Linked DNA regions of Rattus norvegicus. The protein of the gene in region 1 purifies or fractionates together with the protein of each later gene. This does not show direct contact. Links are inferred from orthologs where the notes say so. Each region holds a gene or a part of one and is shown in the gene's direction. Other genes may lie near its edges. The genes, in order: Rtn4, Atl3 and Cyb5r3.

Evidence for each region.
Region 2: the proteins of Rtn4 (region 1) and Atl3 purify together in Homo sapiens (affinity purification with mass spectrometry; 4 studies listed by BioGRID and IntAct, counting the BioPlex papers as one, with this or other methods). This does not show direct contact. The link is inferred for Rattus norvegicus from reciprocal best matches to the Homo sapiens genes RTN4 and ATL3.
Region 3: the proteins of Rtn4 (region 1) and Cyb5r3 purify together in Homo sapiens (affinity purification with mass spectrometry; 3 studies listed by BioGRID and IntAct, counting the BioPlex papers as one, with this or other methods). This does not show direct contact. The link is inferred for Rattus norvegicus from reciprocal best matches to the Homo sapiens genes RTN4 and CYB5R3.

Annotation. Positions count from the first base shown.
Region 1 is NC_086032.1:107,664,605-107,668,255, forward strand, and holds part of Rtn4 (reticulon-4), read left to right. Parts: coding exon 1-2,227; intron 2,228-3,651. UniProt on the Homo sapiens protein: Required to induce the formation and stabilization of endoplasmic reticulum (ER) tubules. They regulate membrane morphogenesis in the ER by promoting tubular ER production.
Region 2 is NC_086019.1:214,137,591-214,141,241, forward strand, and holds part of Atl3 (atlastin-3), read left to right. Parts: intron 1-134; coding exon 135-227; intron 228-1,516; coding exon 1,517-1,655; intron 1,656-3,651. UniProt on the Homo sapiens protein: Atlastin-3 (ATL3) is a membrane-anchored GTPase that mediates the GTP-dependent fusion of endoplasmic reticulum (ER) membranes, maintaining the continuous ER network. It facilitates the formation of three-way junctions where ER tubules intersect.
Region 3 is NC_086025.1:116,197,681-116,201,331, reverse strand, and holds part of Cyb5r3 (NADH-cytochrome b5 reductase 3), read left to right. Parts: intron 1-3,273; coding exon 3,274-3,405; intron 3,406-3,651. UniProt on the Homo sapiens protein: Catalyzes the reduction of two molecules of cytochrome b5 using NADH as the electron donor.

The DNA of each region.
Region 1 (3,651 bases):
TTTAAAGAACATGGATACCTTGGTAACTTATCAGCAGTGTCATCCTCAGAAGGAACAATTGAAGAAACTTTAAATGAAGCTTCTAAAGAGTTGCCAGAGAGGGCAACAAATCCATTTGTAAATAGAGATTTAGCAGAATTTTCAGAATTAGAATATTCAGAAATGGGATCATCTTTTAAAGGCTCCCCAAAAGGAGAGTCAGCCATATTAGTAGAAAACACTAAGGAAGAAGTAATTGTGAGGAGTAAAGACAAAGAGGATTTAGTTTGTAGTGCAGCCCTTCACAGTCCACAAGAATCACCTGTGGGTAAAGAAGACAGAGTTGTGTCTCCAGAAAAGACAATGGACATTTTTAATGAAATGCAGATGTCAGTAGTAGCACCTGTGAGGGAAGAGTATGCAGACTTTAAGCCATTTGAACAAGCATGGGAAGTGAAAGATACTTATGAGGGAAGTAGGGATGTGCTGGCTGCTAGAGCTAATGTGGAAAGTAAAGTGGACAGAAAATGCTTGGAAGATAGCCTGGAGCAAAAAAGTCTTGGGAAGGATAGTGAAGGCAGAAATGAGGATGCTTCTTTCCCCAGTACCCCAGAACCTGTGAAGGACAGCTCCAGAGCATATATTACCTGTGCTTCCTTTACCTCAGCAACCGAAAGCACCACAGCAAACACTTTCCCTTTGTTAGAAGATCATACTTCAGAAAATAAAACAGATGAAAAAAAAATAGAAGAAAGGAAGGCCCAAATTATAACAGAGAAGACTAGCCCCAAAACGTCAAATCCTTTCCTTGTAGCAGTACAGGATTCTGAGGCAGATTATGTTACAACAGATACCTTATCAAAGGTGACTGAGGCAGCAGTGTCAAACATGCCTGAAGGTCTGACGCCAGATTTAGTTCAGGAAGCATGTGAAAGTGAACTGAATGAAGCCACAGGTACAAAGATTGCTTATGAAACAAAAGTGGACTTGGTCCAAACATCAGAAGCTATACAAGAATCACTTTACCCCACAGCACAGCTTTGCCCATCATTTGAGGAAGCTGAAGCAACTCCGTCACCAGTTTTGCCTGATATTGTTATGGAAGCACCATTAAATTCTCTCCTTCCAAGCGCTGGTGCTTCTGTAGTGCAGCCCAGTGTATCCCCACTGGAAGCACCTCCTCCACTTAGTTATGACAGTATAAAGCTTGAGCCTGAAAACCCCCCACCATATGAAGAAGCCATGAACGTAGCACTAAAAGCTTTGGGAACAAAGGAAGGAATAAAAGAGCCTGAAAGTTTTAATGCAGCTGTTCAGGAAACAGAAGCTCCTTATATATCCATTGCGTGTGATTTAATTAAAGAAACAAAGCTCTCCACTGAGCCAAGTCCAGATTTCTCTAATTATTCAGAAATAGCAAAATTCGAGAAGTCGGTGCCCGAACACGCTGAGCTAGTGGAGGATTCCTCACCTGAATCTGAACCAGTTGACTTATTTAGTGATGATTCGATTCCTGAAGTCCCACAAACACAAGAGGAGGCTGTGATGCTCATGAAGGAGAGTCTCACTGAAGTGTCTGAGACAGTAGCCCAGCACAAAGAGGAGAGACTTAGTGCCTCACCTCAGGAGCTAGGAAAGCCATATTTAGAGTCTTTTCAGCCCAATTTACATAGTACAAAAGATGCTGCATCTAATGACATTCCAACATTGACCAAAAAGGAGAAAATTTCTTTGCAAATGGAAGAGTTTAATACTGCAATTTATTCAAATGATGACTTACTTTCTTCTAAGGAAGACAAAATAAAAGAAAGTGAAACATTTTCAGATTCATCTCCGATTGAGATAATAGATGAATTTCCCACGTTTGTCAGTGCTAAAGATGATTCTCCTAAATTAGCCAAGGAGTACACTGATCTAGAAGTATCCGACAAAAGTGAAATTGCTAATATCCAAAGCGGGGCAGATTCATTGCCTTGCTTAGAATTGCCCTGTGACCTTTCTTTCAAGAATATATATCCTAAAGATGAAGTACATGTTTCAGATGAATTCTCCGAAAATAGGTCCAGTGTATCTAAGGCATCCATATCGCCTTCAAATGTCTCTGCTTTGGAACCTCAGACAGAAATGGGCAGCATAGTTAAATCCAAATCACTTACGAAAGAAGCAGAGAAAAAACTTCCTTCTGACACAGAGAAAGAGGACAGATCCCTGTCAGCTGTATTGTCAGCAGAGCTGAGTAAAACTTCAGGTAATAATCTATGCACTGTCTCACCAACTTCTCGGCTTGCTATGGAATGCAGATAACATTTTATGACATAACATTTCTGGGGTCTAATGTATCACGTGATGAGAATCTTCAGTTTTAGTTCTTTTGGACTGGAAAGATGGCTCAGTAGTTAAGAGCACTTGCTGTTCTTGTACCCTCTACAAGACTAAGTTCGCTTCCTTAGCGCCCACATGGTTTCTCACAACCAGCTATATCTCCAGTTCTAAGTGATCTGATGCCTTTTTTTTTTTTTAACCTTTATGGACATCAGAAATATTACACACACACACACACACACACACACACACACACACACACACACACACGTACACACGTGCGCATGCAGGTGAAACATTCATACACAAAAAAATAATAAAAATGGAAAATGATTATAGCCAGGTATGGTAGTGCAATATAGTCCCACCTACAGTCAGGAGCCCAAAGTAGAATTATTATGAAGTTATTGCAAAAAACAAGAATACAAAAGTTTTCTGCTGTTTCTTCCTGCCCCACTTCTATTCAATAATTTATCTTTGTTGTAGGCTTTTTCGTAATTATTGCATCATGGAACCAGGAAAAAAATTAGTAAGATTATCTTCCATGATGCATTTTTTTCTTCAGTGTTTTCTGATACTGTGACAAGCAAGGGATATTAAAGCAATATTTTCGATGTGTTTATTTTTATCTTAGATATGATTTCAAGCCAAATTTGTGAAGGATGACCATTTCTGTAGCTTGCTTTTGGCATTTATATATAATATATTATTTTTCTAGAGAGAGGTATGAGGTTAGACATACTAAGTATAGATTTTTTTCCTGAAAAGTAATTATTGAAACATGTTACCAATTTATGAAAATCTCAGATTATCTATTTATACTTTTCATTTATCTGTTTATGTATTTTTTAAGTATAGGAGTGTCTGCAAGTATACCTACATGCCAGAAGAGGGTATCAGATCTTTTTATAGATGGTTGTGAGCTACCATGTGGTTGCTGGGAATTGAACTCAGATCCTCTGGAAGAGCAGCCAGTGCTCTTAATCGCCGAGCCATCTCTCCAGCCGTCATTTGTACTTCTGACTCAACATTTACTATGTTTGTTTTGCATGCTTTTTTTTAAACTTGGCATTCTGTGAGCTGTGTTTTCTAGTCGAAATTATGTTGTATTTACTTATATATTAGAGACAGCTAGCATCAGACGAGTATAGAAATTCTAAGAGGAGATTCTGAATATTCAGATAATGAATCAAGCATGGAGATTTCCTGTTTGGAGGACATGGAGAGAAGTTAAAGACAGTGCTAAGATTCTGGGTTCCTGCCATGAATATGAGTTAGCAACACGAGAAACAAAGGTGGGGGGACATGAGAAAATAAAATGGGTTTGGGAGAAGATAAATTCAATTTGAA
Region 2 (3,651 bases), on another chromosome or scaffold:
CTCAGGCTGGTCCCTTTCAGCATGCCTCTGCCCCCTTTGAAAAAATTAGCAGAAAATATTGTGGTAATAACTGTAATTCATCTTGAATATGCACTTATACAGTGTTGTAATTCTGTTCTGCTCTGTCACAACAGACATTAATGTTTTTGGTTCGAGACTGGAGTTTTCCTTATGAATATAACTATGGACTGCAAGGAGGAATGTCGTTTTTGGATAAGCGTTTACAGGTAAGTAGGAAATCTGAATGGTTTTCTAAAGTTAGTAACTTTCCCATTTCCTTTTGAATATTGTCTTTAAAAAATATCATTGAAAACGATACTCTGGGGTGCCGGAGAGGTGGCTCAGCGGTTAAGAGCACTGACTGATCTTCCAAAGGTTCTGAGTTCAAATCCCAGCAACCCCATGGTGGCTCACAACCATCTGTAATGAGATCTGATGCCCTCTTCTAGTGTGTCTGAAGACAGTGACAGTGTGCTTATATATAATAAATAAATTTTTTTTTTGGTTCTTTTTTTTTTTTTTTTCCGGAGCTGGGGACCAAACCCAGGGCCTTGCGCTTCCTAGGTAAGCGCTCTACCACTGAGCTAAATCCCCAGCCCCAATAAATTTTTTTAAAAAAAGAAAATGATACTCTTAAATTTTATAAATATTAGTATAAACTAGGATAATTTTTTGTTTAAAATTTTAAAAATTACATGTATTTATTTGTGTGTGTGATAGAGAAAGAGAGAAGAGTGCTTCAGTACTCATGTGATGGTCAGGGAACAATTCTTTTCCATGTGGGTCTCAGGGATTGCACTCAGGTTGGCAGACTTGATGGGCAAGTACCTTTACCTGCTTAGCAGAAAGATGGCAGTCTTTCTGGCCCTAGTATAAGTTTTTTCATGGTAAAATTGAAGAACCCCCTGGTTCTTCTATATAATATATAGACACTGTGGAGAGAAACTCTGAGCAAAAGGCCTTTGTAATTGTAATTTCCAGTTATTTTGAATCAGGTTCTATATGTGCCTTTAGACTATATTTAGGATTGTAATTCTGTTCTTACTCAATATTATTATTTTTTCTTTTTTTTCGGAGCTGGGGACCAAACGCAGGGCCTTGCGCTTGTTAGGCAAGCGCTCTACCACTGAGCTAAATCCTCAACCCCTTACTCAATATTATTTGCCTTGGCATATATATATAAACAAGCCTAGCCTGTTCCTAAAACCAAAGCACAGGAGACCTTTGTCAGTCACTGCTAACTTATTGGATCCTTCTGGCCTACAAGCTTTCTGTTCTCCTTATGTGTTGTGCAATACCTTGTGTTGTGCAATACCTTTGAAAACCAAGTCTTTAGTCTCTACTCTCTGTTAGCTATGAGAGCCTCATGCACATGTACACTTACTACTTCTTGGGGCTGTGGCTCTTCCCATTGGTCACTGTGATCTATCACTCAGGAAGTCTTCTTTCCTTTGTCCTGATGCTAGTGAAGAATACCAAATTGTCTTTGGCTTGTAAATTTGATTTTCCTTGGCAGGTGAAGGAACATCAACATGAAGAAATTCAGAACGTTCGAAATCATATTCACTCATGTTTCTCGGATGTCACCTGTTTTCTCTTACCACATCCAGGGCTCCAGGTGGCCACAAGCCCTGACTTTGATGGGAAATTGAAAGGTGTGTTACAGACGTTGCTGTTGTACATGTGATTTGATCTTTGGAATTCCATAATGAGCAGTAAGAGTCAGTGATGATGAATCAAATGGATGCCATGAGAATAAATGTGGTCTCATAGAAAGAACAGTGTTAGTATAGTTCAGATTTCCCTCCTGCCTTACTCTGACCATCAGAAGTACTTTGCCAGTTCACTAACTGAAAATGAAGTACTGTTCTTCAGGGCTCTTCCTAAGAATGTAGTTTCTGCTTTATAAGAGATCAAAATGCTAAATGAAGGAAGACTGGAATCTAAGACATCCAATATTTTTCGAGTAAAAATATCTTCTCAGGAAAAGTACCATGATGCACAACCAAGCACTATTTATGCTCGACTCCTTTGTGTTTTTACCAAAACGAGATGCTGGGTCATAGGCTAATGTCAGGAAGTTCTGCGTCAATGGTAGGTTAGAGAATCAGAGTTGGGATGCTTGGGTACCATTATCTTATTTTTGTTCCTTATTCCTGGAGGCCCTGAGTCACCTGATGGCTGTCCCACAGTTTATACTTGTTTTTTTTTTATTAAAGATTTATTCATTTATTATATATAAGTACACTGTAGCTGTCTTCAGATACACTAGAAGAGGGCTTCGGATCTCTTTACAGATGGTTGTGAGCCACCATGTGGTTGCTGGGAATTGAACTCAGGACCTCTGGAAGAGTAATCGGGTGCTCTTAACCGCTGAGCCATCTCTCCAGCCCCAGTTTATACTTGTTAAACAGTTTGTTGATAGGCTGATCTGAATCTCTTAATTTTCCCTAAAACACCGATAATAGTTGTTGTCAGCATTGCAGTCCAGTTGGGTTCCCAGTGTTGTGCAAAATGCTTTAATACTAAGCTCACAGTAATTCCATGAAGTTACATCATTTTATTTATCTCTATATCAGGAAGCTGGCAAAAATGAGGAAAGTTAAGCAACTCACTCAAAGTACTTAGCTAAAAGCAGTGGGGCAGAGGTGCACAACTGGGTACTGGTGCCTTAAAGTCTGCACCGTGGAAATAGAAGTTCATTGTTGTTTGGAGGAAGTCTTTATAGAGTATGTTCATGTTGAGTTACCAGGACAACTTGCCCTTTAAGAATAGCCTCAGTAAATATGAAATATATAATTTTCATTCTTTTTGATTTAGTTGCTCTAAGAAGAATAAATAATATTTGTTTAAGTCAATATGTACAGACATGAGGCTACAGAGATAACTCAATAGTTAAGAGTGCTCTTGGGTTCTATTCCCAGCACCCACATTAAATGGTTCACAAATATTTGTACTGTAGTTTCAGGGAATATGATGCCCTCTTCTGGCCTTCCTGGGTACTGTCATGAACATAATGCACTTGTGTGCATGCTGCCACATACATACACATAAACTGAAATGGAAACTCAGCCGTTCTTTTTTTTTTTAAGATTTATTCATTTATTATATGTAAGTACACTGTAGCTGTCTTCAGACACACCAGAAGAGGGCATTGGATCTCTTTACAGATGGTTGTGAGCCACCATGTGGTTGCTGGGAATTGAACTTAGGACCTCTGGAAGAGTAGTCGGGTGCTCTTAACCGCTGAGCCATCTCTCCAGCCCTCAGCCGTTCTTTAGGTTTATTCTATGTGTGTGAGTGTCTTGCCTGCTTGTATGTAATATAGCACGCGTGTGTGTCCTGTGTATGCTGAGCTCAGAAAAGTGTGCTGGGTGCCCTGGAACTGGCGTTATTTATTGTCATGAGCCTCATGTAGATGCTGGGAACTCAACCTGGGTCCTCTGCAGTGACAGGTATGCCTGTCTGCGGAGCCATTTTCTCTTTTTTTTTTCCCCCCAAAGATTTATTTTTTTATTTAATGCGTATGGGGTTTGCCATCTTATATGTACCATATGTATGTGCAGAGGCCAGAAAGAGGGTGTCTGATCTTCTAGAATTAGAGTTATAGATAGTTTTGAGCCATCATGTAGGTGCTGGAAATCAAACTGG
Region 3 (3,651 bases), on another chromosome or scaffold:
TGAACTGGGAATGACGACAGCACCTCCCAGATGCAGCCTGAGGGTTGAGGTAAGAGGGCAGTGCTTTTTGGGAGCTGCCAGGAGCCAGTTCTGCTCATTAAACCTGTACCTTCTGAGCATGCTCCAGTGCCAGGGACAGATGGCTCCCTCCACAGCCTGTGCTAGGCCAAAGGTTTGTAAGGCAACTCGGACAGGCTGAGCCCTTCCCTCGTCAGGGAGCCATCTTGGCTTTTGCCCCGTTTTTGGAAACTTGCACACAATGTAAGAAGTCAGAGAGTCAGGAGGGATCAGGAGAGAGGGGTGTTGTTGTCCTTGTGGTAAGTCCGCAAATATTTACAGAGTACCTCCCTCACCAAGTGCTGGCATAGTGGTGACTAGGCAACCCTAAGTTACCCAGAGACAGGAGAGGGGGGCCATTTTGGGCCCAGGGCTGTTTTGGGGACCCTACCTATGTTTAGGGACCCACTCAGAGGCCTGGCACTGGTGGGTTTAGGGTGAATGAGGGTTGTAGGCTGGTCCACAGATGGTCAGCTACATGTTGGGCCTTTCCAAACCTCCTTTGTTAAGTGGGGGTGTAGAGACAGTTGCACTGACTTTTGTATTAGTTATGACCAAAGGTAACTTAGGGAAGAGCTTGTTTTAGCGTATACTTCCAGAGGACTAGAGTCTGTCAGAGCAGGGAAGGCTTGGCAGGGGGAGCAGGGAGCTGAGGGATCATATCTTAGCCACATATAGGAAAACAGAGATAGTTTGCCTGTCCCCAGTGAAGTTCTTCCTCCAGCAAGGTTGTACTCCGAAAGGTTCCATGACCTCACTAAACGGCACCGTGTACTGGGGACCAGGTGTTCAAATCCACAAGCTATAGGGGATGCTCCTCGTTCAAACCACAACAGGCACCCACCATGGAGGGTCAGAAACGAATCCAGGTGTGACAGGCCCTGGGAAACCAGCTTGCAGGCTCAGGGGACTCCAGCTAGTGAGCCCGACAGGGTACTCCAACAGTCCTGCTGGGGAAGATAAACCAGAGTACACTGAGCATGGGCCCAGTTGGTTGGAGTCATTGATGCTCATTCCTAAGACTTCCAATGGTGGTGGTTTCTGGATGAGGTCTTGCTCCCTGCAATGGAATTTTCTGTAGCAGAAAATCGCTAGAATGCCCTTCATGCCCAGAAAGCTTACAGAGACGCCAAGGCTGTGAAAAGGCACCAAGAGCCTAGTTAGCTAGGCATGGCTCCTCAGGTTCTGAAGGATTCACAGATGTCTACTGGTTGGATGCATCTAGAAGTAGGGCGTGGGGAGAGAAAAAAAAATGTGCAAAGGTCAAAGCTAGGGAAGTTGTGGAGGGAGCCGGCAGTGGAGTCTGTTTTGAAGCCATAAATCCCATGCGTTGAAGGCTGGTGGGTGGGATCCTTGTGCACCTTGGAGGTGAAGTAGCTTGATGGTTTGGAAGGCTGGGCTTGGAAATATGCTCCCCACTTCCAAGGGGGAATAGTATCTGACTGCAGACTCTAATGGGGACACAGTAGGACCTGTCCCCAGAGGTGGCTCAGAAACAGCAAGATGGGACAGAGAAGTCCTGAATTCAAATCACTGTTGCATTCATGTTTGGTTTTGTCACCTTGACCAGCCATTTATCCTGAGAGAGCACATGAGAATCTGGTGCTTTGAATGTGGTCCCGGGACTTTGGTGTGAGTTGGGGCAGGATGATTCCCTCTATCTTGTTTCCCCTCTATGGCTTGGAGTAGCTGCTACACTTGTAGTCAAGAGCTGAAATGGGGTGGCCCCAGGAACACAAGGCCTTGTCCTTAGAGCAGCACCAGCTCAGGGAATATGACTGGTGTTTTCTCTGTGCATGGCCTTTGGAAGCCCCCTCTGTCTCCAGAGCCCTAGGGAACCCTTTCTGAGTTCTGGGCTGGGCCTCAAACCTTGGTTTTTTTGAGCTTACACTTCATGGTGTCAACTTGGTCTTTCAGTGAGTCTTGCGACAGAGCTAATATGGTGCTGGGTACAGTGGTGTGCATCAAATGGACGTGGTCCTCATATAAGCATACCAGGGGCCTATGGGGTAAGGCCTTGGCTGGGAAAGAGGCAGTTTATTCTGGGCCCAACAAAGGGCCCTTAGCTGCTGGGGCTGCTTGAACCTGCAAGGCCGGTTTGGGGGTGAGGAGTGTATCTGGCTGATTGATGGTCCCTCCACTTCTCAGGTTGCACACCCCTCTGGGGATTGGGGTGGGGGAGGGCTCCCAGATTAACTGACTGCTCCCTGGGAAGAGTACCTCATGATGAGCCTCACCTTCTGTTTGCAGATGGGACAAGAGGCTCAGACAGAGCTACAGGGCAGGGCTTTGAGGGATGGGGACCCTGGGGCTGGGCCAACCAACCAATGGGCTTCAGTGAATGAGAGCACTTCCTCACTCCGCTCCTGACAGAAATGACCAGAAGGAAAGATCTCTGCTTGTGCTGTCTGTCTGTCGTCTGTCAGGTAGAGGAAGTAGGGACCTGTTGCTGAGGCTGTTCACATCCCTGCTAACCAGGGAGCAGAGAAAGGGCGGGAGCCAAATCCAGTGACTCACTTCTTCAGCCAAGCCCAACTTCCCAAAACAGTTGCCCAGGGCTACTCAGCCAGTGAGGAACAGTGCCCAGCCAGTGCTGAAGGCAGCCCAGCGTCCAGGGACAGACTCAGGGTCTTTGTTTATGGGAAGTGACTCAACTTATCCACCCTCACTGGCTTGTTTCCTTGGATCTGGGTAGAAGCAAGGAGGAAAAAGTATAGAAGTCCTAGGAAACTGTCGCAGAGATGTGTGGGCCCCTAGGAAACTGGCGCATAGACGCTCCAGGCCTGTGCTCATCAGTGGCCCCTAGGAAACTGGCGCATAGACGCTTGGAGCCCCGTGGCCAGTGAAGGGCTCTTAGGTGGATTCGGAGCCAGGCTGAGAACTGGAACTTGGGCCTGGGATTTGACTCCGTCCACAGAGTGCTTGCACACCATGCATGGCACAGGTCTGTAATATCTACACTTGGGGGCAGGAGTCAGAAGTTCAAGGTTTTTTGAAGCTTCCTCATGGTGCTGGGCACAGAGGACTGAGTGGTGCAGCAAATGTCGTTGAGTCTGGTTTTGGTCATTTCTCCTGGTGAGCTGCCGAATGGAGTTCACTTGACAAGGCTGGAGAGGAAAGGTCACAGGAGGAAAGGCCCAAGGATGCTGGTGAAGTGTCACCTGTAAGGTGGGCGCAGGACCCTGTGCTGACCTGGGCTCCGCTCTGTCCTTGCAGTTGAGCCGAGTGGTACTCTCCCCGGTCTGGTTCGTCTACAGCCTCTTCATGAAGCTGTTTCAGCGCTCCTCACCGGCCATCACCCTCGAGAACCCCGACATCAAGTACCCTCTGCGGCTCATCGACAAGGAGGTGAGTGCCCTGCTCCACCCCCCCAACCCCCGCCCAGCATCCCTGTGGCTCCCAGGTACCTACACTGCCCCTCCATCCCCCTCCCCCATATTGCAACCTGCCCACCAAGGCCATGGAGAAGTGACAGAGGGGTTCAGTCCCTGCTCTCTGTGGTGTGAACTCTCCCTGGGGAGATAGAAACAAACTCCCACTCCCTCAGAGAGGCAGGATGACAGACCAAAGTACCATTCCACCAAAAGCACTCTG